7 linked regions of the Cricetulus griseus genome follow. The protein of the gene in region 1 binds, or shares a complex with, the protein of each later gene. Links are inferred from orthologs where the notes say so. Each region holds a gene or a part of one and is shown in the gene's direction. Other genes may lie near its edges. The genes, in order: Thoc2, Thoc3, Sarnp, Ddx39b, Thoc5, Alyref and Thoc7.

What was found.
Region 2: the proteins of Thoc2 (region 1) and Thoc3 are in contact, whole or in part, in a cryo-EM structure (PDB 7ZNL), measured with the Homo sapiens proteins. The link is inferred for Cricetulus griseus from reciprocal best matches to the Homo sapiens genes THOC2 and THOC3. Residues at the interface, in NP_001075019.1 of Homo sapiens: Tyr395, Arg396, Pro401, Lys402, Gly403, Ala404, Lys405, Gly406, Ser407, Pro446, Ile447, Ala450, Arg454, Cys500, Asn501, Ala502, Cys503, Met504, Glu506, Pro563, Arg566, Gln567, Lys570, His573, Tyr603, Leu604, Thr605; in NP_115737.1 of Homo sapiens: Asp193, Met196, Ile208, Val217, Gln218, Asn221, Ala222, Pro224, Ser225, Ala244, Asp245, Ala246, Leu247, Ser249, Trp251, Asp252, Asp254, Glu255, Leu256, Val257, Cys258, Val259, Cys261, Ser263, Leu265, Asp266, Pro268.
Region 3: Thoc2 (region 1) and Sarnp share a complex: the UniProt entries of both Homo sapiens proteins name them as parts of the transcription/export (TREX) complex. The link is inferred for Cricetulus griseus from reciprocal best matches to the Homo sapiens genes THOC2 and SARNP.
Region 4: the proteins of Thoc2 (region 1) and Ddx39b are in contact, whole or in part, in a cryo-EM structure (PDB 7APK), measured with the Homo sapiens proteins. The link is inferred for Cricetulus griseus from reciprocal best matches to the Homo sapiens genes THOC2 and DDX39B. Residues at the interface, in NP_001075019.1 of Homo sapiens: Lys550, Tyr551, Met553, Lys554, Arg555, Leu556, Thr557, Lys558, Glu559, Tyr582, Gln586, Lys589, Tyr590, Asp591, Asn592, Leu593, Pro596; in NP_004631.1 of Homo sapiens: Leu282, Asp283, Val284, Leu285, Glu286, Phe287, Asn288, Gln310, Asn311, Phe312, Pro313, Asp335, Phe336, Gln337, Arg338, Arg339, Arg355, Ile420, Ile424, Glu425.
Region 5: Thoc2 (region 1) and Thoc5 share a complex: the UniProt entries of both Homo sapiens proteins name them as parts of the transcription/export (TREX) complex. The link is inferred for Cricetulus griseus from reciprocal best matches to the Homo sapiens genes THOC2 and THOC5.
Region 6: Thoc2 (region 1) and Alyref share a complex: the UniProt entries of both Homo sapiens proteins name them as parts of the transcription/export (TREX) complex. The link is inferred for Cricetulus griseus from reciprocal best matches to the Homo sapiens genes THOC2 and ALYREF.
Region 7: Thoc2 (region 1) and Thoc7 share a complex: the UniProt entries of both Homo sapiens proteins name them as parts of the transcription/export (TREX) complex. The link is inferred for Cricetulus griseus from reciprocal best matches to the Homo sapiens genes THOC2 and THOC7.

Annotation. Positions count from the first base shown.
Region 1 is NC_048604.1:26,152,042-26,155,860, forward strand, and holds part of Thoc2 (THO complex subunit 2), read left to right. Parts: intron 1-1,484; coding exon 1,485-1,613; intron 1,614-2,088; coding exon 2,089-2,220; intron 2,221-2,308; coding exon 2,309-2,493; intron 2,494-2,978; coding exon 2,979-3,157; intron 3,158-3,378; coding exon 3,379-3,481; intron 3,482-3,819. UniProt on the Homo sapiens protein: Component of the THO subcomplex of the TREX complex which is thought to couple mRNA transcription, processing and nuclear export, and which specifically associates with spliced mRNA and not with unspliced pre-mRNA.
Region 2 is NC_048596.1:273,511,288-273,515,870, reverse strand, and holds the start of Thoc3 (THO complex subunit 3), read left to right. Parts: upstream 1-1,526; 5' UTR 1,527-1,615; coding exon 1,616-1,882; intron 1,883-2,391; coding exon 2,392-2,548; intron 2,549-3,917; coding exon 3,918-4,122; intron 4,123-4,583. UniProt on the Homo sapiens protein: Component of the THO subcomplex of the TREX complex which is thought to couple mRNA transcription, processing and nuclear export, and which specifically associates with spliced mRNA and not with unspliced pre-mRNA.
Region 3 is NW_023276806.1:129,078,316-129,082,134, reverse strand, and holds part of Sarnp (SAP domain-containing ribonucleoprotein), read left to right. Parts: intron 1-1,959; coding exon 1,960-2,006; intron 2,007-2,666; coding exon 2,667-2,734; intron 2,735-3,819. UniProt on the Homo sapiens protein: Binds both single-stranded and double-stranded DNA with higher affinity for the single-stranded form. Specifically binds to scaffold/matrix attachment region DNA. Also binds single-stranded RNA. Enhances RNA unwinding activity of DDX39A.
Region 4 is NW_023276806.1:231,768,492-231,772,464, forward strand, and holds the start of Ddx39b (spliceosome RNA helicase DDX39B), read left to right. Parts: upstream 1-1,173; 5' UTR 1,174-1,330; intron 1,331-1,996; exon of another isoform or gene 1,997-2,019; intron 2,020-2,073; exon of another isoform or gene 2,074-2,149; intron 2,150-2,487; 5' UTR 2,488-2,612; coding exon 2,613-2,823; intron 2,824-3,371; coding exon 3,372-3,499; intron 3,500-3,708; coding exon 3,709-3,801; intron 3,802-3,973. UniProt on the Homo sapiens protein: Involved in nuclear export of spliced and unspliced mRNA. Component of the TREX complex which is thought to couple mRNA transcription, processing and nuclear export, and specifically associates with spliced mRNA and not with unspliced pre-mRNA.
Region 5 is NW_023276807.1:100,003,662-100,008,075, reverse strand, and holds the start of Thoc5 (THO complex subunit 5 homolog), read left to right. Parts: upstream 1-1,416; 5' UTR 1,417-1,565; intron 1,566-1,584; exon of another isoform or gene 1,585-1,627; intron 1,628-4,414. UniProt on the Homo sapiens protein: Component of the THO subcomplex of the TREX complex which is thought to couple mRNA transcription, processing and nuclear export, and which specifically associates with spliced mRNA and not with unspliced pre-mRNA.
Region 6 is NC_048600.1:133,090,877-133,095,452, reverse strand, and holds the start of Alyref (THO complex subunit 4), read left to right. Parts: upstream 1-1,640; 5' UTR 1,641-1,678; coding exon 1,679-1,912; intron 1,913-2,235; coding exon 2,236-2,367; intron 2,368-3,675; coding exon 3,676-3,823; intron 3,824-4,416; coding exon 4,417-4,480; intron 4,481-4,576. Other genes in the region: Anapc11 (anaphase-promoting complex subunit 11), read right to left, coding at 787-895. UniProt on the Homo sapiens protein: Functions as an mRNA export adapter; component of the transcription/export (TREX) complex which is thought to couple mRNA transcription, processing and nuclear export, and specifically associates with spliced mRNA and not with unspliced pre-mRNA.
Region 7 is NW_023276807.1:171,869,781-171,873,599, reverse strand, and holds part of Thoc7 (THO complex subunit 7 homolog), read left to right. Parts: intron 1-280; exon of another isoform or gene 281-286; coding exon 287-404; intron 405-1,032; coding exon 1,033-1,160; intron 1,161-1,386; coding exon 1,387-1,473; intron 1,474-3,819. UniProt on the Homo sapiens protein: Component of the THO subcomplex of the TREX complex which is thought to couple mRNA transcription, processing and nuclear export, and which specifically associates with spliced mRNA and not with unspliced pre-mRNA.

The DNA of each region.
Region 1 (3,819 bases):
CTTGTTTTTTGGGGGGGGTTTCTTTTTTTTTGTTTTTTTGTTTTTTTGTTTTTTTGTTTTTTTTTTGGTTTTTTGAGACAGGGTTTCTCTGTATAGCTTTGGAGCCTATCCTGGCACTCGCTCTGGAGACCAGGCTGACCTCGAACTCACTGAGATCCGCCTGCCTCTGCCTCCTGGGTGCTGGGATTAAAGGCATGCGCCACCAACGCCGGACCTTTATTGTGTTGTTTTTTTGTTTTGCTTTTTTGTTTTTTTTGAATAGCATGATCTTAAGAGCGAAATTCTTGACCTTGAATCCTAGCTCTACTTACTCCTAACTATATGATCTTTTACAAGATAGTTAACCTCTCTGTGCCTCAGTCTTCTTATCTATAAAAGGGGCCCACTTTATAAGATTGATCTGAGGGTTAAATGTGTCACTATATATAAAAACCCCATGTAGCTAGGTGGTGGGGATGCATACCTTTTTTTCCCAGCACTCAGGAAGCAGAGGCAGGAGGATCTCTGTGAGTTGGAAGCCAGCCAGCCTGATCTACAGAGTTTGTTCCAGGACACCGAGGGCTACACAGCAAAACTCTGTCTTGAACACCCCCCCCCCACCAAAAAAAACAACTCCCCATGAGATGGTATCTATTGCATTCAAGGTTAACCCATTGACTCAGGATTTTTATAATCTTGTATCTTTATAAGTAGGTTTCTCTACTCTTAACTTTCACTCCTCAAAACATAACTAAAGAAAACCTTCAACTTACACATTCACACCGCATAAAAGCCGGAAAGCATTTTAGTGTTGTTGTATTCACAGATTTTTCATCTGGCTTTTTTCTCATTACTGCATTTGTGGGTTAGAAATATGTGTTATATCATGTGTGCTGCTTGTTTCTAAATGTTATCACCTTTGCTACAAATTCTTTTCCAAAGACCATCTCTCACCTTTCTCACATAGACCCATATTTTAGTCCAAGTTACTTCTGCTTTAGTAACGATGGTGATGAGATTAAAACCAGCAGTGGTGGCGTTTGGATGTGAAATATCCCCATAGGTTCATATATTTAAATACTTTGTCCTCACCTGGGGGCACTCTTTGGGAAGGTTGTTGGACCTTTGTGAACTAGATATTTGCTGGAAGAAATGGGTCACTAGGGGTAGGCCTTGCTTTTGCGTACTGTCTATTCAGTCTCAGTCACAAATGGCTAAGTCTTCAAGAAGCTATTTAATAATAATAATAATAATAATAATAATAATAATAATAATAGCCTTTTCTTCTATCATTATCAACCAAATTTCTTCATAAAACTTTACTTGGATGCATTGTGATTGCTGTTTCTCCACAGAATCTACAGTCACCAAAGATCTCTGTAGTTGTGAATATAAAAGGAGAAAGTATAGTTTTTACGAAATTTAATGATTATTGTTATTTCCTATAATAATAGTCTTTTAATAGTTTTAGTCTGATAATCTTTTTCAAACATTTTTTCCTCCAGGTTTTTTCTGACATAATTTACACGGTCGCAAGCTGTACTGAAAATGAAGCTAGTCGATACGGGAGGTTCCTCTGCTGCATGTTAGAGACAGTGACCAGGTGGCACAGTGACAGAGCCACATATGAAAAGGTATGCGATTGGTAAATGTGTTAGAGACAGTGACAGAGCCACATATGAAAAGGTATGCGATTGGTAAATGTGTTAGAGACAGTGACCAGGTGGCACAGTGACAGAGCCACATATGAAAAGGTATGCGATTGGTAAATGTGTTAGAGACAGTGACCAGGTGGCACAGTGACAGAGCCACATATGAAAAGGTATGCGATTGGTAAATGTGTTCGTCTTTTACCTGTGTGGATATTGATTGCTTCAGATTGGTCAATTTTAAAACAATTTAAGATTCAGCTATAAAATGATCTTAAAACCACAATTAATATATTATTAAAAAGAGGAATTTTTTAATTGTATCTCAACTTGACATTTGAAGCTGTTACCACTGGATAATCTGAACCTTTCTTTTATAGCTGGTTACTTATCTGGTCTCACTCTCCTATTTTGTGGGATAAATTAAACTTCTAAAAATGAGAAACTTATTTTTTCTTAGGAATGTGGAAACTATCCAGGATTCCTTACCATATTGCGGGCAACTGGATTTGATGGTGGAAATAAAGCTGATCAATTAGATTATGAAAATTTTCGACATGTTGTACATAAGTGGCATTACAAACTAACCAAGGTAAAAACAAGTGGACATTTTTGAAAGGTAATTTTTTTCTCTTCATTCCTGTATTTTATGATAACAGATCTTTAAATGTCTGTTATAGGCATCGGTGCATTGCCTTGAGACAGGCGAATATACTCATATCAGGAATATATTGATTGTGCTAACAAAAATACTTCCTTGGTACCCAAAAGTTTTGAATCTGGGTCAGGCTTTGGAAAGAAGAGTGAATAAAATATGCCAAGAAGAAAAAGAGAAGAGGCCAGATCTATATGCATTGGCTATGGGGTAACACAATTATACTTTAATGTGATTTATGAGACTAGATTACAGAAGGATTCTGAAGATGTGAAAATGTTTTACAATGTTGAAGTCTTATCTTCTGCTTTACTTCAGGAGATTATGGGAGATTATGCGATCATGTTCCCACAGGCTGGTGAGAGTTGTCACTTCTGATTATCAACTTCCGGTCTATACTGGATGATAGTTTCAAAGGCCACATATAATATTTCTTGAAATGGAAAAATGCAATTTTGTCGTAGTTACTATATCTTGAGGAGCAAAAAGGGGGAAAAAGGCTCTCTAGTTAAAGAACTAGTTTATTTTGAAAGAATGACTTAAGTTTTTAGAACACTATAGACCTTGAAGAATATACTAAAAAGCAGTAGTTTATTTTCTAGAACCAAGTAGCAGAGTGAATAATTTATTCTAAACTCCATATTTGTGTTTTTTGATTTGTGTATGTGTATTTAAACGCTTTGTGCGACTTTCAGCTACTGGGGGATGTTGAAATGTAGAAAGTCACACATGATACCTGAAAATGAATTTCATCACAAAGATCCTCCTCCAAGAAATGCTGTTGCCAGTGTACAAAATGGGCCTGGTGGTGGGACTTCATCATCATCCCTAGGAAGTGCATCTAAATCGGATGAGAGTGGTACTGAGGAGACTGGTATGCTTATTTGTAGACACTTATCAATAATATATTGAAATAGTTTATCACATGATAACTACAATGCAAGCCCCAGATTGCTTTTTAATCCCTAGTTACGAGTATGTAACTGTTAAGAAATAATCAGCTTCCTAAGTCTTCTAATTATCCACTAATCATTTTGCTGTGAATTCATAGTTTATGTTTACAGTTTGCTAACAAAAGTCTTGTTTTTATTTCAGATAAACCAAGGGAGAGATCTCAGTGTGGTACAAAAGCTGTGAATAAGGCTTCTAGTACCACACCAAAAGGGAATTCAAGCAATGGAAATAGTGGTTCTAACAGGTAAGAACATTATGCCAAGTGTCACAAGTCTAAATTCCTGTCGTGTGTGTGTGTGTGTGTGTGTGTGTGTGTGTGTGTGTGTGTGTGTGTGTGTGTGTGTGTGTGTGTGTGTGTGTGTGTGTGTGTGTGTCTGTAGGGAGGTGTATATGCACATTTGTATGTATGTAGGTAGTGGTGTGTACTTGCCACAATGTGCGCAGAGGTATAACCTCAGCTATTACTCCACACCTATTCCTTGTTTGAAATTGGATCTGTTTTGCTGCCTATACCAGGCCTGCTGTCCTGTGAGCTTTTCAAAAATTCTCTTTTCTCTGTCTCCCATTTTACCATAGGAGCCA
Region 2 (4,583 bases), on another chromosome or scaffold:
AACTGTTCCCATACTGAGGCTATCCTCTATGGGATGGCCATATTCCTTTGCCTGAAAGGCGGTTTTTCACTTGTGAACAAAACACCTGTGATTATATTCCTGCTAACTTGTCTCACAACCTACTGTTGTTTAAGCAGAAAGCCCCACTAGGCTAGTGGTGGCACACACCTTTAATCCCAGCATTGGGGAGGCAGAAGCATGAAGATCTGAGTTCGGGGCCAGCCTGGTCTACAGACTGAGTTCCAGGACAGCCGGGGCCACACAGAGAAACCCTTTCTCAAAAAAATCAACGAAACAAAAAGAATACTTTGCTTTGCCATGTTAGTCTTGTAACTTGGGGTAGGCCACTTTGCCTCTAACACAGGAGGTATAAGTTCTCAGTGCATGGTAAAAATATGCAATCATATGAAATATTTGAAAAAGAAATGTAAGGAGGGAAAATTAGCAAATAGATTTGTACCCAAAAGACTTCATTGATTTCACTGACACTTTTTTGTATAAAATCTTCACAGTTTCCAAAAATGCCTGCTTGCCTCTGCGTCCCCAGTGCTGGGGTTACAAGCCTTCGACACCACAGCTGGCTTCATACAGACATTTTCACACAAGTATACATTATATGTTGAACATATTCCTTCAGGGCCCCCTATCCCGAGCTCAGAGCTCTTGTACAGCGCCTTAGCTCATCCTGGAGCTCACCATTGATGTTTTTCCAGCTGAATATCTTTTGTCTAAGAGAGATGTAAGAAGTGGGAGGCGCTGAGATGTGAATGTAGCATACACAAGTGGTCACTTTACTTTTCACTCTTCTTAAAAATTTACTATCTTCAAAGCCACAGAGAAACCCTGCCTCCAAAAACCAAAAAAAAAAAAGAAAAGAAAAAGAAAAAAATTGCTATCATACATATGCAATATATTCTAAAAACTAGGATCAAAAGACAAAACAAAACCCCCAAACCAACCAAGCAACCTTGCCCAACCCAAACCAACAAATCCACACTCTCATTAACCAACTCCTTATTTCCACAAACAGCTAACCTTTCTCCTTTGCTGTGGCCTTCTGCTTTAAGGGAGGGAAGAGGGCCTTGTAGTGAAAAAACAGCTCTATTGAAAAGGGTATTTTTGTCCTGGCAGTGGTGGTGCACGCCTTTAATGTCCCCACTGGGGAAGCAGGAGCAGGAGAATCCGAGTTCGAGGCCAGCCTGGTCTACAGAGTGAGTTCCCGGGCAGCCAGGACTACACAGAGAAACCCTGTCTCGAGGGGAAAAAAAAAGATATTCTACTGGTAAGTAAACTGGAGGCTTTATCTTGGTTCTCTTCTTCGAATAAGCGAGACTATCAAGAAACGGGTTAGAAGACCATTAAAAAAGTCGAACTCTTCCAAAATGCTACTTCCAAACGTTAGAGGCGGACACGCGTTGCATGGCGGGATTTGCAGTCCCTTGGGGGGAGGGGCGCCAGTGAGACACGCGCGCCTGCGCAGAGTGACGCGGCGGCGTTCCTGGTGCATGCGCGCTGCTCCCGGCGCATGCGCGCCGCAGCGGCGCCGGGCCCGGTGTCTGTAGCCGCCGGTACGCGGTCCTTACTGAGAGAGAGAGCGAGGGAGCGAGACGGAGGCATGGCGGCGCCCACGTCGATCCTGGGGCCCCCGCCGGTCAGCCAGAGCGGCCCCGGCTCGATGGCGCCCTGGTGCTCTATGAGCAGCGGCCCGTCTCGCTACGTGCTCGGGATGCAGGAGCTGTTCCGAGGCCACAGCAAGACGCGCGAGTTCCCGGCGCACAGTGCCAAGGTGCACTCGGTGGCCTGGAGCTGCGACGGCCGTCGCTTGGCCTCGGGGTCCTTCGACAAGACGGCCAGCGTGTTCCTGCTGGAGAAGGACCGGCTGGTGAGCTTGTAGGGCCCGGCCCGGCCGGGAAGAGGCGGACGTGGTGTGGGCACCGTCGTTGGTGGTGCGGTGAGCGGGCGAGGCCGCCCGGAGGAGCGCGGAGCGGGAACCTGGTGGCAGTTAGGCGGTGGCGAAGGGGCTGCGGGACGGAGAGGTGCAGTCAGGTGGCCTGCAGTGGTCAGGGTCTAGAGCAGCCCTGGGCGGGGAGTGCTGGCATCCCCACGGGGTCGAGAGGTTTTATTTGGAAACGATAGCGCCTCCTTTGGGAATGGACCGTTGGATTGGGATGATGATGGTGGTGGAAGAGGGGAGGGCAGGAAGGGCAAGAGAAGAGCCAGTGTCCAAGCTCAGAACAATTCACAGGGGCTGAAGTTCTGGAAAGGACTGGATTCTTTTGGATCGTCCACATCTTTGCCGGTTTCAGGGTACCACCGTTTGGATAAAAGTTAAGTTGCGTGTGGAGGCAGGTGCATCTGTGTGAAGTGACACCTGGATTCTGCTCTTTTAAGGTCAAAGAAAACAACTACCGGGGCCACGGAGATAGTGTGGATCAGCTCTGCTGGCACCCAAGCAACCCTGACCTCTTTGTCACCGCATCTGGAGATAAAACCATTCGCATCTGGGACGTGAGGACTACAAAGTGCATCGCCACTGTGAATACTAAAGGTAACTTCAGAGAGAGAGGAGCCTTAGGTAGAAAAGCTAATTATAGTTTCCAGAAACTGTTGACCGTGTTCTTTGCAGCTAGTGCCACAGAGTGGGTTATCAGGATGATGTATACATGTCCGTCTGGAGGAGACAAGGAAGAGTAGAATTTGAGCACGTTTTTTGATCATCTGTAGTAGTTACTGGTCAGAGCGGTGGAAACAATACAAAGAGGAGTAGTGTGTGTGAAGGCATAGAGGATTTAGGAGATTCTGGCAGGTTAGAATGGCTGAAACCTGGATGATCTTGGTTTCCAAGAAATGATTGGAAAGTTGTACATCACATTCAAACGCTGTTTTCTTGTTATATAATACCCTGTAAATCTTGAGTCTAGCATAATTGACTCTAAGAGGTCATCTACAATCTTTTAAGAAACATTTTTGTTGTTTTTAGATTTTTAATTTTTTTCAAATAATTTATTTACTTTTATTTGCATTGGTATTTTGCCAGCATATATGTCTGTGTGAGAGTGTCAGATCTTGGAGTTACAGACAGTATGAGCTGCCATGTGGGTGCTGGGAATTGAACCCAAGTCTTCTGGAAGATCAGTCAGTGCTCTTAACCGATGAGCCATCTCCCCAGCCCCAGATTTTTTTCTTTTTCTTTTTTTTTTTAATTCTTTTTATTTTTTATTTTAGATTTTTTTTTTTATTTTCAAGTATGTGTGCCTCATGTATGCAGGTGCCAGAAGAAAGCATCTTATCCCCTATAAATGTAGTTACAAATGGTTGTGAACTGTGGGTGCTGGTGATTTAACTTGGGTCTCCTGGAAAACAACAAGTGCTCTTAAGTGCCGAACCATCTCTTCAGCCCCACAACAAAAATGTTTTTGTTTATTTATTTATTTTTAAACAAAGCATTTTTGCTTTGTTTTTTTTTGAGACAGGGTTTCTCTGTGTAGACCTGGGTGTTCTAGAGCTCTCTCTGTAGACCAGGCTATCCACTCAGAGATCCAACTCTCTCTGCCTTTGCCTCCTGAGTGCTGGAGTGAAAGGTGTGTGCCACCACCACCCTGCTCCGAAACAAATTCTGATAGATTTTTAAATGCACTATAGATAGTAAAGTGTGAAAGAAAAATGGCATTTTTGATTCCATGAAGTTGTGTGCAGTGTGGACGACTCCTGGACTTAGATGACAAGACTGGTTTCTGGGAGTGGTGTGACGTGGTACTTTTGGACAAATGTTAGCTGCCAGCAGCAGCTTTCTTCCATTGTCTTGGTGATTTGAGCACTGAAGAGAGCTCTGATCTTCTTTCTAGGGTAGCAGAATAAGCTTCTGGAGGAGGATGGGCAAGGATGATCTTGCTGATGGCTTGTGTCTGGGTTCCCAGGGGAGAACATTAATATCTGCTGGAGTCCCGATGGGCAGACCATTGCTGTGGGCAACAAGGATGATGTTGTCACCTTTATCGATGCCAAGACACACCGTTCCAAAGCGGAAGAGCAGTTCAAGTTTGAGGTCAATGAAATCTCCTGGAATAACGACAATAACATGTTCTTCCTGACCAATGGCAACGGTTGTATCAACATTCTCAGGTGAGGGGCTTCTGGCTAGAGGGACTGTTGTACCTCTGTACTGGGTGCTATGTCAGGTACATAGATGAGTTAAGTGTGAGCCTAACCTAGAAGACTTGAAAGAAAAAGTATTTAAAAATCCTAGTTTTTTTTAGGGGCACATTTGAGCCAGATATTCTGCATTTTATTGAGTTCTTACTGATATTGATTGTAAATGTTCACTTAATTATCAGATAGCTGGCCCAGGGGCTTAGTATACCTTGAATTCACTCCCTTAAAATTTCAGCTTAAATAGTATTTTCCCTCTAGCACAGTCACTTTCATCCTTTTCTGTTGTTTTTGTGTTTTGAGACAGGGTTTCTTTGGCTGTCCTGGAATTCACTTTGTAACCTTTCATCCTTCTATCCTGCTTTTTCTCCAAGATTAGAGGAGGGTTTTAATGTATCTTACACATTTCCTATAAGAAGCTCTTTTTTGTTTTG
Region 3 (3,819 bases), on another chromosome or scaffold:
CAGGGTTTTTCTGTATAGCTTTGGTGGTGTTCTTTTCTTTAAAATATAAAAATATTTATTTTAAAAGGATTTCATTTGGGTCTAGAGAATTGGCTCACTGGTTAAGAGTGCTAGCTACTCTTGTAAGGACCCAAGTTCAATTCTCAGCACCCATATGACTGTTCACAACCATTTAGAACTCCAGTCCTGAGGGATGATGCCTCTTTTGGCCCCCGAGGGCACTATACACATGTACACAAACATACATGCTGGTAAAACACCCATATGCTTCAAAAAAAATTAAGTGAATTAAAAGAAAAGATATTTTTATTTCATTTGTAGGGGTGTGTGCCCGTATATATTAATGTACCGTGTATGTGCCTAGTGTCTGAGGAGGCCAGAAGAAGGAGAACTGGAGTTAAAATAAAGATGGATGGTTTGTGAGTGGTCATATGAGTGCTGGAAACCAAACCTTAACCACTAAGCCGTCTCTTCAGCCCACTCAGGGTTCTTTTATTTACACAAACCTGTATTTGGCATTATCCTATCAAGTGGCCTAGTTTTGCTAATTTGTTGGTCTTAATATACTTTTCTCCATGAGGAAAGTTTAAATGTCTCTCTTAAACTTTCTTTGTTCCTGATTCTGTGGGTTTGTTTTTGCCCACAAGTGCTAGAATTGCAGGCATGGGGCTACCTTGTTGGTTTTAAACACAAATATCTCTGTCATTGGTCTTTTATGTTTTTTCCCCTTGGTGTTCTTTAGTAGAAGTACGTAGTTTTGAAAATAATTTTTTCACCACCTGTGTGTGTGTGTGTGTGTGTGTGAGAGTGTGAGAGAGAGAGAGAGAGAGAGAGAGAGAGAGAGAGAGAGAGAGAAAGAGAGAGAGAGAGAGAGAGACAGACAGACAGACAGACAGACAGACACAGACACACAGAGAGAGAATGTACATGGAGAGAGAATGTACATGTGTTTGGGTGTCTGAGGAGGCCAGTAGAAGGTGTCAAATTCCTTGGTGCTGAGGTTACAGGTAGTGGAGTTGCTTGTTGGTCACTAGTGGCTGAGGCATCTTTCTAGTCTTCCACCATTTTCAAAGGTATTTTCTTGGTTATTCTGTAACACATTTTTTCTTTTTCTCTCTTGCTCTCTCTGCTTCTCACTCACTAGAGATCAACCCTGAGTATTGCTCTTAGGAGCCGTCCACCTCGTCATTTTACTCAGGCTCTGTCACTAGAATCTAGTTCTGCTTGGCTCCCCAGGTCTGGGGTTACAATGGTCCTCCAGCACCATACTTGAATTTTTATGTGGGTTCTGGGAATTGAACTGTGTTATCTTTACACATGCATGCACGCACGCACCTTTTTTGCTGCGTTTTTGAGACAAGATGTTATATAGCCCAAGCTGGCCTCTGTAGCTTCAAATGGTTTTGAGTTTACTGATTGTGTTGCCTCTATCTTCCCAAATGCTCTTCCAAATGCTGGGATTACAGGGCATGCACCACCATACCCTGTCCTAATTAGTTTTTTTTTTTTTTTTTTAAGATTTTATTTATTATTGTATACAGTCTATACAGTCTTCTGCCTGCAGGCCAGCAGAGGGCACCAGATCTCATTCAAGGTGGTTGTGAGCCACCATGTGGTTGCTGGGAATTGAACTCAGGACCTCTAGAAGAACAGTCAGTGCTCTTAACCGCTGAGCCATCTCTCCAACCCCCCTAATTAGTTTTTAAATTAATTTTATAGTGAGACTTAAGTACAGCCTAATTGCATTTATTCAGTTCAGATGGAATTCAGTTTTATACTAACATTTAATAGAGATCTGGTTTTATCTTCTCTAAATGTGACTTACTTTGTAAGGAATGGTTCTGCCATTATTGTTGAATATAATTTTGGGAAAGTAAAGAGGTTGTAATTTTACTCTTATCACAGTGATCAAGATGGTTTTATAGCAGGGTTTGACCTGAATATTTTAATGTTCTGTAGCTGAAGAGGAAGCAAATGAAGAAGATGTACTGGGAGATGAAACTGAGGTGAGTTGGGAAAGGTTAGTCAGTGGCTTGATAATGTGTCATTGCTTTGGCTAGATTGTTTATTGTCAGTCCTTTGACTTTTTAAGTGCTTAAAAGAAATCAAAGACTGGTTCATTTTGGAGTTCTTAGGTTGTCTCTTGATGGATATTCTTTTACTTTCCTGATAAAATTTAATTAATGTTTTTGAGCTAGCATCTCATAGTCCAGGCTGGTCTCAGATTCACTGTGTGGCTGAGGATAACCTAAACTTCTTTTTCTTTCTATTTTTGCCTCTTAAGTACTGCCATGCCCAATTTATCTTTTTTTAAAAAAATGGATATTTTTGTTACTGTTTTTTGTTTGTTTGCTTTTTTGTTTTTTTGAGACAGGGTTTCTCTGTGTAGCCTTGGCTGTCCGTAACTTGCTTTGTAGACTAGGCTGGCCTCTTAACTCACAGAGATCCATCTGCCTCTGCTTCCTGAGTGCTGGGATTAAAGGTGTGTGCTACCACTATCCAGCTTAAAGTTGATTATTATTATTATTGTTTCTTCACAGGGTCTTACTGTGTAGTCCAGGTTGGCTTGGAACTCACAGAAATCCGCCTGCTTCTGCCTCCCAGGTGCTGGCTCTTAATGGATATTCTAGATTTATGTTAACCATGTTGTTTCATTTTGTTTTTAGGAAGAAGAACCAAAGCCTATAGAACTTCCTGTTAAAGAGGAAGAACCTCCTGAAAAAGCTGTTGATGTGTAATTATTCCTTTTTAATAATCTGTTTTTTTCTTCCTTTTTTGGAGGGTGGGATAGGGGCATGCAAGAGACATGGTTGCTCTGTGTAGCCCTGGCTATCTTGGAACTCTCTTAGGCTGTCCTGGAACGCTCAGAGATCCACCTGCCTCTGTCTCCCAGGTGCTGGGACTAAAGTCATGTACCACCACACCCAGCCCTTTTTAATAGTCTAAATAAGAGCAGATAGTTGTATTTTTGGGTGTGCTAATGTGAAATATATGTGTGGAATATGATGTGTCTTCCTTAATCACTCTCCACCTTAGTTTTCTTTTTGTTGTTGTTGTTGTTGTTTTTGTTTTTTGGAGGCAAGGTCTCACTATGTAGTCCTGGCTGCCCCGAACTCACAGAGATCTGTCAGCCCCTGCCTCCTGAGTTCTGGGACTACAAGTGTGCGCCTGACTCCACCTAATCTTTGAGACCAGGTCTCTTACTGGCATGGAGCTCACCCATTTGAGCAGAGCGACTGGCTAGTGAGCCCCAGGGATCTCCTGCCTTTATCTCCCAGTGCTGAGTTCTTAGGCACCAGCTCCACACCTGTCTTTTTCACAGGGCGACTGGAGCTTGGACTCGGTTCCTTGGGCTTGTGTGGCAGCATTTACCAACTAAACACTTAGTATATTAAAAAAAAAAATACTGCTTTAAAGTTTCATTCTGTTTATTTGTTACACATTCCCCCTGACCTTTTCGTTTCTGATAAGGTCAGGCATTTCTAGAAAGGTCTCCCTGATTTAAGTATGTCTCCAGTGAAGAAAATGGGTTTTTCCCATTTTTTAAGTCAGATTAAGTCTCTGTAATTAGAACCAGGTTAGCTTTAGTACAGGCACAGTTCTGTTCTCCTAGCCTTTGTTCCTTTGTGTGCCACCATAATGGATTATTTGATTAGAATCTATGATTCCCTGTGCAGTATAAATTTCTATAAAACCTTTTAGTACCAGCCTCTGCCTCCAGAGAGCTGGGATTAAAGGCATGCTTTACCATGTCCAGTCCTGTAAAACCTTACGCGTAGAATTTTATACTTGGACAGAAAACTTGCTTTTGTAGAAAAG
Region 4 (3,973 bases), on another chromosome or scaffold:
TGCAAACACAAGCCTTGATTTGCACGACTTTGCTGTGTTGGTGCAAACATCCTTTGCAGGCTGTAAAGTAGAAGTTTGACTCAGTTGGGGGGCTCAACGGGGATAAACCTCACTATGTTACTCTCCTCAGTGCTACTACGTTAGGTTCAATAAAAGGCCTCTCCCGAGGGGTGTTTCCTGGCCTTTTAGGAACAACAGGAAGAAAGAGGTGGCCTAGAGCCTGCCGTCTGGCTTACTACAAGAGTTCCTGGGAACTTCAAAGCCATAGGCCCCTGGAGCTAAAGCATTTCCTACTTTACCAGGGGCCGAGGAATCCCCACCTACTCCTAGGCGGTGGGAGGGGGGCGGCTGTCAGATGCTGAGGGTTGCGGACGAGGGTGCCAACTTAACAGCTGAGTAAAGTGTGCTAACAGGGGAAGCTCGCGCTTATAGTCGGCAGGACATCGCTCCTCGTGTATGCAGCATCTCAAAGAAGGGAGAACCACGTGTTTAGAGGGGGAAGAAGGCCCAGGCTGAACAATGGAGCCGCTGTGGTGGGACTAAGAGCACTCTGCCCTAATTAATAACCATGGAGCCGCGCGTTGGTGGCGCACGCGTTAATCCCCGCACTAGGGAGGCAGAGGCAGGCGGATCTCTGTGAGTTCGAGGCCAGCCTGGTCTCCAGAGCGAGCGCCAGGACAGGCTCCAAAGCCGCACGGAGAAACCCTGTCTCGAGAAAACCGATGATAACGACAACAACTATGGAAAGCTGCGAAGCCCTCAAACGCACCGTTTATTTTGTTAACGCGCGGGCAGAATGCAAACCTCCATCTCCTAAGTGGCCGCCTTGCCGCCGCCATTTGGGGCAGCTCCGCTCGTTCCCAGCGCAGCCGCGAAGGGCGTGCCCGCCCCCCCACCTCCCCCGGCCCCGGGAGCCTGACTGAGCTCGGCACCCTCAGGTCACCTTGGGTGCCAGGCTAAGGGCGCCGTGAGGACGCGTCCCGCTCGGCACGCAGACTCCGCGGTGCCCGAGGGCAGCCTGCGGGGAAAGGACGAAGGACGCCGCGGTGAGGGGGCGGGGAGGTGCGAGCCCGCGTCGCGCTCCGGTCACCGGCGGCGGCGGCGGCGGAGTCGGAAGACCTTTTCCGAAGGCACCCCCGAGCGGGCGCGGCCGGAGCCTCCAGGACCGCCGGCTTCCGGCTGCCGACTTCCGGTTTCCGGCATCGCGCGCCTGCGCCCTGGCGGCCGGGAAGGCGGCAGGCCGGGGGGGAAAAGCGCCCGGGACCGGAAGTGAAGGCAGGTTCCCGCCTGCGTCCCCGCCGCCGCCGCCATACGCGCTCGCAGTGCTTAGGTAAGCTGGGGCCTTGCGCGCCATCCGCCGCCATCCGCTCCGGCCCCGCCGCGCCCGCGCGCGCGCCCCTGATACCCGTCGCCCGGGCGGCGGCCTGGCCGCTGCGGCTCGGTCGGGCGCGCGGTGCCGTCGTTTTCGTCCCTTTCTGAGCGAACCTCGGTGGGGAGCGGGGAGACGGGGGCGACGATCCAAAATGGAGGCCCGGGCCGCCATTGTGTCCCCCGCTTCCTGGGTGGCCCGTGGGTCCCCTTCCCGCGCGGGCCGCAGCGGCCGGAGGCGGCGCTGGCGGGAGGGCGGGCCCGGCGCGGCCCGCGGCGGGGACGAGCAGCCGCCAGGGCCTCTGCTTGCCCGCTGCGGCGTCGGCGCTCCCGGAATGCTCACCTTCGGGGAGGAGCGAGGCTGGGGCGCGCCAGACGCTGTCAAGGCCGCTTGGCACCAAGTCCCAGCCTGAGGGTTGCATTTCCCCAGCTGAGAGCCTGCGGCTTTGAAAGCCCACCCTTGTGGCGAGCGCCTCGCGCGTGGCCGGGCAGGCATTAAAATGTAACTGTCTGCGCTGCCGGCTTCTGGCGTTGTTTGCCTGCTTTTTGGCCTTGAGCCCCTGGCGCCCCTGCTCCCGCGGTTAGGTGCAGCGGGCCCGCCTCCCCGCCCTCCGTCCTTCAGCTCCTGCTCCCCCAGGACTGGGGTCCCAGGTGAGCGCCTCCAGCGCGGCACGCAGGTGCCGCTGGACAGGGGAGTAAGTAGCAGCCACGTGATGTTTGCAATGGGAAGTGAGCGCTCCGCGCAGTGCTGACCTTCATCTATCACCCTTGACTGATGGCTGCTGGGGGGACCAACACCGTGGGGCCACAGGGAGAGCGCAGTCTGAGGTCCCCTCCTGTCCCACGCATTGTCACCCTCCCGCGGGTGGCTTCGGGCTCATCTTTTCACGGTCTCGGGAGTTGCTCCTCTTGGGTCAAAGTGCGAGCCCAAGTCTGTCCAGCAGTCACACCCGAGACCACTCTCCATTTTTTCTCGCCCGGTGTTCGTTTTCTCTTACTTTTCTTCCAGGGCAGAGGTTTGTAGTTGAGGGAGAACACGAAGAAAGTGAGGGTGGGCGAGAAGTCCCTACGTGACTGATGAGCTCTTCTTTTTTTTTTTTTTTTTGTTCTCTCTCCCAGCTCTTCTGTCGGGAAACTGGTGTCTCTTCCCTTGCTGTTCCTCAGCCCCCTCTCTCCCCCTTGCTTTCTCACCTTCTCTGGGACCACTCACCCAAAGACCTCCCTTCTCCCCTGCCGGCCCAATTATGGCAGAGAATGATGTGGACAATGAGCTCTTGGACTATGAAGACGACGAGGTGGAGACAGCAGCAGGTGGAGATGGGACGGAAGCTCCTGCCAAGAAAGACGTGAAGGGCTCCTACGTCTCCATCCACAGCTCCGGCTTTCGAGACTTCCTGCTCAAGCCAGAGTTGCTCCGGGCCATCGTGGACTGTGGCTTTGAGCATCCATCAGAGGGTACATTTTATTGTTGGGCATAGGGACCTCATGATGCATCTTAAAGATGGGATTTGTGTTTAGGGTATATAGGCCAGGCAATGAGAATGTACCCAGATGTTAGCGCTAGAAGATGCTTGTTAGCTTTGATCACACAGGATGCTGTTTGTCCTGTGCCCAGGTTTTCTTGTTTGCTTGATCGTCTTTCTGACTGTTTGGCTGGAGTTTTACATCCAGTATTTTGGGCCAGGCCACCTGGGGTCTTAATGATTGCTCTAAAGTTGCTGGCTTCTGGGGCAAGTACCAAGTCCTTCATTTTGTCCAAGGTTATAGAATGCCAGGCACATGGAAGGTAAGCTGTTGGTAGGTGCAAGAGGGTTTGCGCCAGGGAAACCTGAAGCTAGGATGCAGTTGAGACTTGATTTGGGTGTAAATGTGACTAAGGGGACAGAGAGGATGGGTCAGTCTGAAAAGTGACAGGGACCAGGCAAAATCTGGAGAATCAACTCGAGGAAAGGGGTTTGGTATGGTGCATAAAGTCTCTCTCTTTCTCCCCTTTTTCCTTCTAGTCCAGCATGAATGCATCCCACAGGCCATTCTGGGGATGGATGTCCTGTGCCAGGCCAAGTCAGGCATGGGGAAGACAGCAGTGTTTGTCCTGGCCACACTGCAGCAGCTGGAGCCAATCACTGGGCAGGTGTGTTTGAGGCAGTGCTGCAGAGGGCTTTGAGGCCGATACACTGAAGGCTGTTTGTGGCTACATAATGCTTACAGCAGCAAGGCTTACTGTTTTAAACCTCAGATTTGATGTCACAAATAACTTGACAGATGCTGCTGTTGACAGTCACTCTGGAGAGAGGGTGACAAAGGACTGATAGGGTGTTGTCTCCATTTGTTCCCTTGAAGGTGTCTGTGCTGGTGATGTGTCACACTAGGGAGTTGGCTTTTCAGATCAGCAAGGAATACGAGCGCTTCTCAAAGTACATGCCGAATGTCAAGGTAAGGGTGAGGCGCTTGGGACAGCGGAGGTCCTGGGAGCTTGTGGGGTAACAGTTGACTGTCCTGAGGCATGGAGCCGCTGTAATTGATGAGTTCCTGAAGGCTGCATAGGAGCCTTTAGTACAGTGACAGGCTCTTCTGATCCACAAAGTCAGTTCAGGGGCCCTGGGCT
Region 5 (4,414 bases), on another chromosome or scaffold:
TTAAGCATTCCCACATTTCCCCAAGGCTTCTCGTCTCCAGGCCAAGTCCCCAGCTAACACTTTGGACATGGCTTAGTTTCCTAACAGACGGCATGACTAGTTGTTAAGAGGTGGGGTGTGAAGAGATACCAGACCAGGTATGGCCTCCGGGAACTCCCTGGTCTCTGTTCATTAAAATGCAAGTCTGAGCCTTAAAAACCTGGAACAGCTGTAAACTCTGAAGTCATCAAAGTCTGGAGGAGACCCAGAATTCACTCAGAGGGGCTGGGAAAGGATGGAAGGGAGGAGGACTTGGGTATATGAGACAGACTTGAAGCAGGAACCTAGGAGAAGCTGGAACATAGGACTCAGCTTGGTTTGAAACACAGAATTGGAAGATAGAGATAATGGAAGATGCTAGGAAGAGGACCCTAAGACAGATGGAGAGGCTTAGCCCTTTTTTCCTACATGATTCAGTTAAAACTTGAATATGTGTTCTAGCTCTTCTGCACTTCCTCCTTCCTACAGGCAAGAATACAGGCTGCGACCTATATTCTCATCTTGATTTCCTTCTTCCCCAATTTGACATTCTGTTAACATACCCTCGTTTTGCAGAACCACCAGGCCTGTGGAGTGGGTTCAGTGATTCTGGGGTCTCCTCAATGACCCTCATACCTCATGAGCCCCTGCCTAGCATGGTTTTGCTACCATACCAGGGAAATGTACTGGGATAGTTGATGGAACCAAATTAAATATTTACTGTAAATTGTGGTGTCTTCATCTGCAGTTGTATAAGGCAGGGCAGTGTCCAGTTGGCTGGGGGGTACTGTGCCCCTGATCTCTCAGAGAAGACATTATCTTCACCCCAGGGGAAGAGAAGGAACTATTTCTGCATAACCAGATATTCCATGCATGTTTCAAGCCCCCAAACAAGTAGGATTCACTTCAGAATTACCTGAGGTTTTCAAATACTGCATTAAGGCAGCGATTTTTGTCATGAAAAATCAAGCTTAACATGGAGAAACAGTGACGCACTTGTGTGAAGGGGGAATGGGCGTAATATGGAATTATACCTGCCTAATTAAGTGCCGCCTTTGGTGTAGTGATTCTGACAGTGTTAAGAATTCAAGTTAAAGCCTTTAATTGCAGTGGGGTCGGGACAGGCGGGCCTGAATGAGTTAGAGATCAGCCTGATGTACACAGCGTTCAAGGGCCAGCCAGTGCTATATAATGAGAGCCAGTCTCGCACACAGTCAGGAGGCAAATCCACCTAGGGTCCCAGCTACGGCACAGCGACACTCTAGTGCTTTTTGAGCATGCCATGAATTCAAGTGACTCGGCAGAGAGCCCACTGCGCTTGCGCTGGTGAGGAATGGAGCACAGGCTCTAGGTCCTCATCGCCGCAGTTTTCCAGTTTTGGAGGGTCGATCAGAAAAGCAGCCACGCCGCGTACACGCCCCTTCCTTGCTTCCCAAGCTGCATCAGGCCTTTGTGTTTCACTTCCGGCCAGTAGCTCTTTTCTTCCGCTTCTCTATGGTCGTGATCCGGAAGTGGCTGCCTGGCTGGAAGGCGTGAGGACCATTGTGGTGAGCGAGGGTAGTGTTGCGAGCTGGGGTTGCTGGTCGGCGCGAGGCGCACGGGGTCTGAGGTGCTGAGGACACGCCGCGTATTTCCAGGGCTGGGGTCCTCACTTGCTGGGTTCCCTCAGGGCTCGTGGCTGTTTTCCCCCTCCTGGGACCTAACCGGAGCAGCATCCTTTAGCCTCCGTAGGGTGCTGATGGCTGTGGTAGTGACAACACCGTGCTTATGGTCCTTTTGTGTGTGTGTGAAACTCTCCCGTGTGACGTTTGGGATTTCCCAGGTTTTTCGCTGCCACTTTTGTGGCTTTTGTCAGAGGAGCCCGCCACTTGATTAACTGTCATTCACAGCCGCTAGAGGCCGGCTCTCTCTTCACTTAACGCGCCGCAGAAGACTCCAAGGAGTCGTAGTGAAAGAAAATTCGTGCATTTATTGTTGGAGCGAAAAGGCTGAGAGCGTGAAGTGTGGATGTCAGGAGGGGAGGGAAGCATGGCTTTTCTTTCAAATGTCCCCTGTTTCCTATCTAGCTGGCCTGATTTAGTTTAGTTGTTTCACTAAATATTTTACTTATGTTACTTTTAAGAAAAAAAACAAGATTTTTTTTTTTTAAAGTTATACTGCAAAGGCCTGGTCAGTAAGAAGAGGTGCCACCTGCCCTGTTAATGAAGAATTTGAATGCAGTCTCTATAGTTTATTCTGGCCGGTAGCTCCCCCTGCTGGCTTCACATTCGCAAAGATCCTTCTGCCTCAGTAACTCACTCAAGTGTGGTTACTGATGTGTACCACCCTGTCTCAGTCCATCCTCCCTCCATTTTTTCCTTGGAGACAGGATTTTATTATGTAGTCTATGCTGACCTGTAAGCCACTTATGTAGCAAAGGATGATTGATCTAGAACTTCTCATCTTCCATCCTCTACCTCCATAGTGTTATTATTTCAGGCATGTCCCACCACAGTTTTATAAGGTCCAGGAGTTCAATGTCTTTGAGTGTGTTAGGCACACACACTCTACCAGCTGAATTGCATTCTCAACTTCACAGTCACTTTTTAAACTTAAACTTACTTTGGTAGAAAACTTGAGGTCTGTGTATCATAAACAGGAAACTGGTTGCATTTGTCTTATGATAATGGTAGAATTGCATAATATGTATAATGTAATGAAAACATGACTATTGATAAATTCTGTCTTGGTTTCCCTGTCTAAGGCTCTGAGAGAGAATTCATTTCCTTTGTGTTTTGTTTGTTTGTTTGGTTTTTTGTTTTGTTTTGTTTTTTAAGACAGGGTTTCTCTGTTGCTTTGGAGCCTATCCTGGAACTCTCTCTGTAAACCAGACTGGCCTGGAACTCACAGAGATCCATCTGCCTCTGCCTCCCGAGCCCTGGGATTAAAAGTGTGTGCCATCACGCCCAGGCAAGAATCCATTTCTTCCAAGAACCTTGGCACTTGTTAACAACAAAGTAGGAAACTAGATGTACTTGAAGCAATCAAAATTTTGTGTGATTTTTGTTTTTTAAGACAGTGTCTTGGTATGTAGACCAAGCTGTCCTCAATCTCACAAAAATCCACCTGCCTTTGCCGTCCCCCCCTCCTGCCCCAGTGCTGGGATTAAGGTGTTTACCATCACACCTAGCCAAAAATAAGTTTTTAATTGGAAGGGGATAGCACAGCATGATCACCCATACCTATAATCTGATTACTGGTGAGGCTGAGGCAGGAAGGTCTCTAGGTTGAATTCTGGAAAATCTCTTTTGTTTGTTTGAGACAGTATCTCCAAGTAGCATGGCTGCCCTTTCATTTGCAATGTAGACCAGGCTGGCCTCAAACTCACAGAGATCTCCTGACTGCTGAGATTAAAGGTATGGACTATCATGCCCAGCTTAATTCTGGAAAACCTTAAAGATTTATTTATTTATTTTTTGAGACAGGGTTTCTGTGTATTGTTTTAGAGGTTGTCCTGGAACTCCCATCTGACAGGCTGACCTGGAACTCACAGAGATCTGCCTGCCTCTGCCTCTGCCTCTGCCTCCCGAGTGCTGGGATTAAAGGTGTGTGCCACCAATGCCCAGCAGCTTTATTTATTTTTATTATGATGGTTGTGAGGTATCCAGTGTGGGAACTGAATGCAGGTCTACTGCAAAACGGTACATGCTCTTAACTGAACTGTTGAGCCATCTTTCCTATCCCTGACTCTGGGAAATCCTTTCTCTCTTTTAGTGTGCCCCCTAATAAGCCTCTGAATTTCATTAGAATCCATGTGACATCTATCTTTCTTTTTTCTTTTTCCTTTTTTCTTTTTGGTTTTTGGTGATAGGGTTTCCCTGTGTAGCTTTAGAGGCTGTCCTGGAACTTTCTCTGTAGACCAAGCTGATCTGACTGCCTCTGACTCCGAAGTGCTGCGATTAAAGGCGTGAACCACCACTGCCAGGGCTATTTTTATTTCTAATGTCAATTAGTTTAGATCCATTGGGCCTGGTGTGACAGAAAACATTCAGTAACAGATCTCTCTCTCTCTTTTGGTTAGTTTGGTTAAGATTTTGGCTATCTGGTTTGTCTTTCATAAGAATCAGCTCTTTCATTAGCACTTCTTTTTTTCTCTTTTTAAAAATGATTTCTTTTTAAAAATTTTATGTACATTGGTGTTTTGCCTGCATGTATGAGGGTGATGGAACTTGAACTGGAGTTATAGACAGTTGTAAGCTGTCATGTGGGTGCTGGTAATTGAATCTGGGACCTCTGGAAGAGTAGCCAGTGCTCTTAACTGCTGAGCCATCTCTCTAGCCCTTTTCTCTCTTTAAAACCCAAACCAAAAACTTTTAATAATTCTTTGAAAATGTCATACAATATATTTTTCAATTAT
Region 6 (4,576 bases), on another chromosome or scaffold:
ATAAAGCTCAAATGCCTGGAAAACAAGAATAGTAAGAAGTATTTAGAACAGAGAGCTGAGAGTCCTGAGATGTCAAGAATGGCTCAAACCCCAATAACAAGACATTTGGGGAAAGATGCTGGAACGAGGATGCTAGAGCAGCTTTGTGAGACACGGGGCTTAAGTTGCTCATAGTTTATAAGCATCAACTTAAAGTATGGAAACTGCTGTCTGAACTTCAGTGTGCTGGGCAGGGGTATCCTCATTTGTTCTGCTTTGCTTGGAGAAAATTCAAACTGGAAGTAGCATTTTGAGGAATTAAGAGAATGACCAATCATCACAATGTATCCCAGGCAAGCTTCAAACTCAAGCCTCCTCTTGCCTCTGTCTGTGCCACCATGCCTTGGCAAAAACAAAAGTGTTGTTTTTGTTTATTTGCTTTTCTTTGTTTTTACAGACAGACTCTCATTATGTAGCCTCCAACTCAGAGGCTACCTGTTTCTGCTCCCAAATGCTGGTATTACAGATGTTTGCCACCATGCTGGATAGGGTCTTTATACAAAAGTGAGTTTGAAGAATTCGTTTATTTTCTGTCAACTTTCCTTCAGGAAATGGAAAGTAAAACCCACGGTTTTATTTTCTGGTTTTCTTAGTTTTTCGAGACAGGGTTTCTCAGCGTAGCCCTAGCTGTCCTGGAATCTCGGAGATCCTCCTGCCTCTGCCTCCCTAGTGCTGGGAAACCCAAGGTTTTCAAGGCTGGTGGAGCTGGCCGAAGTTCTGAGAGCACGGGGGAGGGGGGGCACTTACAGTCTGGACAGCAGCCATTAAACGCCATCCTGCAGATGCCACAGTTCTCATCGTTGGCTACCCAGAGCCACGTGGCCACACCATTCCAGCACTTAATCTTCACCTTCATGGCAGCAGAGCGTGCGACCTGAGGGAAGAGGGTTTCCTGGCTAAAGTTACTCTGTATTACTACCACAGACGGCACTTGAGCATTTAAGGCGGGGAGCTGCGTGCTAGGCGCCTCCAGGGAGCCAGGCTCCCAAGTTGTTTTGCTATGTTGAAGGTCGTTTTTAGAGCTGTGCACCCAGGTAGCGGGCCAGGCTGGCTCACGCCTTTAACCTCAGCGCCGCGGAGGCAGATCCGCCCAAAACCAAAGGAGGAAAACAAAAACAAAAACCACTGCATCCATGAAAAACACCTCGGTTTTCACTCACAACCCGCGCGTGACAAGCCATCAGCTTGCTAAATTTAAATAAAATTAAATTTTAAAAAACCATCCCTTCGAGCCCACAAACCCCAAATCGGATCCACAGATCGGCCCCCCGCCTCGCAGCTCAGGGACTCGGCGGGCGGACGGACCGAACTCGATCCGGCGCCTTCCGGCCTGCGCAGGGCGGATCCCAGGCCAGGCCCCGCCCACGCCTCGCCCACTCCACCTAATCTCGCGGCGCCCCGCCCTTCCGTTGCAGGAGCGCGGGAGGTATAAAAACGACCGCGCCGCGCCGGGCGCCACACACTCGCGCGGGCCGTCCTCCTGAGCGCAGCGCAGGCGCCCTCCGCTCTCCGCGCGCGCCGAGGCCAATCAGGGGCAGCTTCGGGGGCCGCGACGCCGGAAGACCAGGGGAAGCTCCGGAAGTGACCTAGCGACGTGCTGACGCGCGGGCTCGATCTGAGGCCCGATTCCGCGCCCGCCATGGCCGACAAAATGGACATGTCTTTGGACGATATTATCAAGCTGAACCGGAGCCAGCGAGGCGGCCGCGGCGGAGGCAGGGGCCGTGGCAGGGCCGGCGCCCAGGGCGGCCGCGGCGGGGCGGTGCAGGCGGCCGCGCGGGTGAACCGAGGCGGCGGGCCTCTGAGGAACCGGCCCGCCATCTCTCGCGGCGCCGCCGCCGGCGGCAGGAACCGGCCGGCTCCTTACAGCAGGGTGAGCACGGGAGGCGCGGCGCCGGCGGGGCGGGCTCCCGGCGCCCTGAGGCGGGCGGGCGGGCGTCCTGCGGGAACCGCGGGAACGGAACGGAACGGAGGGTGGGCGGGGGCGACGCCGCGCGGTGAGCGAGGCCCCGGTCACAGGCCGGGATCTTCCGGGACGCTTTGTCCGGTCCGGTCCCGCCTCGTGGCGGCGGAGCGGCGGGCGTGGGGGTCGTCTCCTCCGGGCTCTCGGGCCGCCGTGAGAGAGAGAGTGTGAGTGCCGGGGAGGGATCGGGGCGCCCGAGACGAGGTCGCTCACGAACCTCTCTTTCCCTTCAGCCGAAACAACTTCCAGACAAATGGCAGCACGATCTGTTCGACAGCGGCTTCGGGGGTGGAGCCGGCGTGGAGACCGGCGGAAAACTGTTGGTGTCAAACCTTGACTTTGGAGTGTCAGACGCAGATATTCAGGTAAGAGACCAGAGCCGTCCGCATGCTTATCCCCACACACAGAATCCCTTCTGATCAGAGCCTGTGCTCCCCCAGGCTGCCCAAGGGCCAGCCGCTGCCCTCACAAAAAGTAGTATCCCCTGGGGTTTGAATGTGACTGATAGGTCAGGCTGCTTGGAAGGCAGCCTGGTGTGCCCCCAGAGTGGCTCTTGTCTGCTAACGTCACGAGCACCTGCCGTCTGCAAGGCTTACAGTTTCTAACGGGCACAGACTGGCCACAAGTCCGGTCCCTGTGTGACCGAGGGTGCTAGCTTCTCAGGCTTTGTGCCTGTAGTAGTAAGCTTATGAGAAGGAAAACTCTCCCCACCCCCACATGTCTGAAGGCACAGGGGTGAATGGTGGCTGTGTGTCTTCCAGACTGACCTTTCCTGGGTCTTACCAGGGGCATTGTTCTCATACCTTTGGTTGAAGTCTTTTTTTCTGTCTGTCTGTCTGTCTGTCTGTCTGTCTCTCTCTCCCCCCCCCCCCATCTCTATCCTCTCTCCCTCTCTCTGTCTTTCTTCTGGCCCTCAAATGCAATTAGAGTTAACAGAGCAGGTTTTTAGGAGTTAGTTTTGGGTCATGGGTGCTGGGCCTTTCTGGGTTCCCTTTCTCAGAGCCCCGCCATTTGGCCTTGTCAGGGAGCATAGAGCAAGGCCAGTGAGCACTCACAGTGTCTCCACACTTTTTTTAAGGTGGTTTCTGGCATCCACTGGAAACCGCTTTTGGTGAACTTCACTTCCCGCTGTGTGCCTGCGGCCGAAGTAGCCCCACACTCTGGGTTCCCTCTCCAACTCCCAGCCTGCCTGAGGTCAGGGCAGTCTCCATGGCGCATTTGACTTCAGACTTTGCAGCAGGCTTGAGTAGGAGGAGAGGGAAAGGTGAGCCAGAATCTGCCTTTGGGGGAGGGGCTTGGGTCACAGCTCCCCAAATCAGTGGGCCCTTTGAGCTGTCTGCTCTATGAACAGCTTCCCTTGGTTTTTCTCTTGGCCTTTGCTATCTGATGAAACAGCCATTAGTCAGGTTGTGAGTGCCCTTGCTGAGAGAGAGGTAGTTTCTGTGTGCTTCCTTCACCTGCATCATGGTACAGTCACACACGTCCCAACGTGGACAGGAACCCAGGTGCTCAAAGTGACACCCTTCCCTCACCTCTTGATTGCCTCTGCCCCGCCCCTTTTCTGGGTGGTGGTCAGTAAAGTAGCACCCAGGAACCCTCACAGCTACTGAACTGAGCCTCTAGAGGGAAAACAGCTTAACTGCTTGGCTAACAGTTGCCCTGTCCACTTCCAGGAACTCTTCGCAGAGTTTGGAACGTTGAAGAAAGCAGCCGTGCACTACGATCGCTCTGGCCGAAGTTTAGGGACAGCAGATGTGCACTTTGAACGGAAGGCAGATGCCCTGAAGGCTATGAAACAGTACAATGGTGTCCCTTTAGATGGTGAGTATATGGGGCTGGGCCCAGGATGCCTGGGGCTTACGGAGTTTGGGGCTGGCACCTCTCCCTGTAGGAATATGGGCTGCCCCTGTGGCTGAGGACACTTTGCATTTGCCCCTTTGTCTCTCTCTTCCATTCTGCCACCTCTCATGCTGCCCCACACATCTGGACCAACCTCTTGTGAACCCCCATCCAGCAAGCTACATCCCTCCCCTCCTTCAGCTCCTTCCGGAAGATTCACTTCTGTGAAGCCTTCTCAGAACCGCCATAGTACAACCTGAGTGCGGGGCTGTAGTCGTAAAGACAAAGGTACCTGTTCTTCTTCCGTCAGGCTACCCACACCTGTCCACCCATGAGCACCCTGGACACCTGACCAAACAGCCCTCTTAGCCTGAACTGAGAAGGAGTGAGGAGGTGTTGGTGGGGTGTTATTGCCACTTTATTTTCCCACCAGGCTCTCTAGGCCTTGTACCTTGTTGGGGGCATTGGAGACACACAAAGGCCCTTTCTAGAGCTTGCATGGAGACCAGGGTGTGGTGCCTTCTGGGTCAGCTTCAGAGCCTCTGGAGTGAGACTTGTTGTATTCTTTACCATAGGCCGTCCCATGAACATTCAACTCGTCACATCACAAATTGATACACAGAGAAGACCTGCACAAAGGTAAGTGCTAGGGCCCTTGGGGATGGGGAAAGGCCTGTGGTTTGTGATAGATAATGCCACCTACAAGGCCTTTGCAGACAGATGGCAGCATTCTGT
Region 7 (3,819 bases), on another chromosome or scaffold:
CCGTCTCGAGAAAAAAAAAAAAAAGAAAGAAAGAAAGAATGCCAATTCTGATGGCAGAGTTTCACTTTTCTTTGAAGGGAAAAAAAAAAGACATTTTTAGTTGTGGCAAGATGCAAAAATAATTTACCAATTTTACCTTCTTGCTTCTAAGTAGCAGCTCAGCCAATGGCATTAAATATACTTATATTTCAGTAATTTTCTTTTGAATGAGTAGTAGTACTGGTTGTCTTGAGAATTACACTGAACCAAATGTTCATTTAATTCTCACTTACCTTTTTTCCTGCAGACGAAGTCATACGGAAGCGTCTTCTGATTGATGGAGATGGTGCCGGGGATGACCGGAGAATTAATCTCCTTGTGAAAAGCTTCATCAAATGGTGCAACTCTGGATCCCAAGAGGAGGGGTACTTTCCCCATGCCATTTCTGTACCAGTGTCTGTCCTGGGGGAGTCTTCTCAAGGCCGTGCCATACAACTCTGTTGACTTTCTCTGTCCACTTCGTGATTGATCAGAAATGTTCTTTTTCTTGACCTTTTCTTTGGAGGCCTCCTTTGTGTCTGTATAATGCAGAAAGCACAGCAGTGAAGGAAGAAATAAAGATTGAGCTCAGGCTAAATAATTTAATTACTTTTAACAAATCAGTATTTGTTTAGTATCTCTAAATGAAGATTTCTCTTTTGTTAATAATAAGTTGCTGCAAAATGATTACATATTAATTTTATGAAGTTTTTTATGGATTTACTTTCTGCTTAAATGATTGTATTGTATAGAATAGGAAAGTGGTGAGAACAGAATTCTGAAGAAAACTCTTAATCAGATATTGTTATGGGTAGTTTAATTCAGACACACATAGACTATTGATGAGAACAGTAGCCTCACTAACCTTGCCTTTCTAACCAGAGAAGTTTTACACCATATCTAGCAAAGAAAGTAGTAAGAGTGGGTGTTCTAAGCTATTTCATATAAAACAAATAATTATCAGAACTTGGTTTCCTTTAGTTTACATTTTTTTATTCTCTCCCTTTTTCATAGATATAGCCAGTACCAGCGTATGCTGAGCACCCTGTCCCAGTGTGAGTTTTCAATGGGCAAGACTTTGCTGGTGTATGATATGAATCTCAGAGAAATGGAGAATTATGAAAAAATATACAAAGAAATAGGTAAATAATGTTTGTATAATTGTATTTGTGGTTTGAAGGAAAAGCTATTTGGTAATATCGGTATTATAGTAGAATTGCATCATATTTACAGTGGTAATGTCAGCAACCACAGTGCTGTGTAATAAGATGGAACACTTGTGTTGTAGAACATCAATGTCTTGTGTTTAAAAGTACAGATTATACATGTTATTATAATTACCTTTTAAAAACTACTTTTTTTGTATAGAATGTAGTATTGCCGGAGCACATGAAAAAATTGCTGAATGTAAAAAGCAAATTCTTCAAGCAAAACGAATACGAAAAAATCGACAAGGTAAGAATGATATGAAGGACTTTGTGGAGATATTTTATTCCCAACTATAATTTCAGTGCAGTTTTTAATTGTGAAAGGTATAATCTGTACTGTGAATCAGTTTATAAAAAATAACTAGAAATTATATTTAATTCTTAAAACTCTGTTACTTAAAGACAGCAAGGTAGGCTGGAAAAGATTTTATTTTGTTGAATTTTATTGGTTACCCAGTATTTCTCAGATTTTTTTTCCTATCTTCAGATGCTTTCCCCTAAGCAGTGTTACAGTTAATCTGTAGAGGTGAGCTATATGACAGAGGTGTTTATTACAGTTATATGACAGACTGAGCTGTTTATTTTCCCGTTTAATGAAGCTACTTTCAAAACATGGAAAAGAGCAAACATTATCTACAAAATTACCTAGTAGAAAAATTAAAGTTTAGGGGATAGCAAGTTGACACAGTGGGCAAAAGCACTTGCCACCAAGTGTGACTGTGACTGCCTGAGTTTGAGCCCCAAGACCTACAAGGTCAAATGAGCGAACTGAGTCTCTCGCTGTGCCGCACAACTCCCACGCATATAAAACACCAAAGTAACATAACATCATTTTTTATTTGAATTAGAAACAAGATTGTTTTACATGATAATCCCAGTTCCCTTCTCCCTCCTGTCTTCCCCTACAACCCCTCCCCCAACTAAAACCTTACCTATCACATATCCTTTCTGCTCCCCCTGGATGGTGAGGCCTTCCATAGGGTGTCATCAGTGTCTATCATATCCTTTGGGATAGGGCCTAGGCCCACCCCAGTGTGTCTTGGCTCAGGGAGTATTCCTCTATGTGGAATGGGCTCCCAAAGTCCACACCTATGCTAGGGATAAATACTGAACTACTACAGGAGGTCCTGTAGATTTCTGAGGTTTCCTCACTGAAACCCATGTTACTGGGGTCTGGATCAGTCCCATGCTGGTATCCCAGCTATCAGTCTGGGGACCAAAAGTTCCCTGATGTTCAGGTCAGCTGTTTCTGTGGGTTTCACCAGCCTGGTCTGGACCCCTTTGCTCTTCACTCGTCCTTCTCTGCAACTGGATTCCAGTTCAGTTCAATGATTAGTTGTGGGTATCTGCTTCTACTTCCACCAGCTGCTGGATGAGGGCTATCTGGTGGCATATAGGTCAGTCATCAATCTCATTATCAGGGGAGGGCATTTAAGGTAGCCTCTCCTGTTGCTTAGATTGTTAGCTGGTGGCATCTTTGTAGATCTCCAGACATTTCCCTAGTGCCTGATTTCTCTCTAAACCTAAAATGTTTCCCTCTATTATGGTATCTCCATTCTAATCTTCTATTCTTCGCCTGACTCAACCTTTCTGCTCCCTCATGCCCTCTGTATCCCTCCTCTTCCCTTCTCATTCTCCTAGCTCCCTCCCCCCCCCTTCCCGTGATCCCAGTTTGCTCATGGGATCTTGACATTTTCCCCTTCTCCAGGGGACCATGTATGTCTCTCTTATGGTCCTCCTTGTTTACTAGCTTCTCTGGCAGTGTGGAGTGTAGGCTGGTAATCCTTTACTCTATGTCTAAAATCCGCATATGAGTGAGTAATACCATGTTTGACTTTTTGTGATTGGGTCACCTCACTCAGAATGGTTTCTTCTATTCCATCCATTTTCTTGCAAACTTCAAGATTTCATTGTTTTTTTCCACTGGGTAGTACTCCATTGTGTAAATGTTACCACATTTTCTCTATCCATTCTTGGTTGAGGGGCATCTAGGCTGCTTCCAGTTTCTGGCTATTACAAATAGTGATTCTCTGAACATCGTTGAACAGATGTCCTTGTTGTATGAATGTGCTTCTTTTGGGTATATGCCTAAGAGTGAAATTGCTAGATCTTGTGGTAGACTGATTCCCATTTTCATGAGGAGTTGCCATACTGATTTCCAAAGTGTCTGTACAAGTTGGCACTCCCACCAGCAGTGGAGAAGTGTTCCCCTTTCTCCACATCCTCTCCAGCATAAAATAAAATCATTTTTAGAGATAGAATAAAGTTTAGTTTTATTCTAATCTCTTTTAAAGTTAGGATTGCCTTCATCTGGTTCATAAAATATTTGAAAATAATTTTAATATTTTATATGTGTCTATGTATACATGAGTGCAGGTGCCTTTGGAGGCCAGGAGTGGCCATCTTATCTCTGGAGTTGAGGCAGTTTTGAGTGCTGGGAACTGAATTTGGGTTCTATAAAAATGCAGTATATACTCAACTGTTGAGCCAGTTAAAGATTTATTTATTTATTTATTTTTTTATTTATTATGTATACAACATTCTGCTTCCATGTATTATATCTGTACACCAGAAGAGGGCACCAGATCTCATA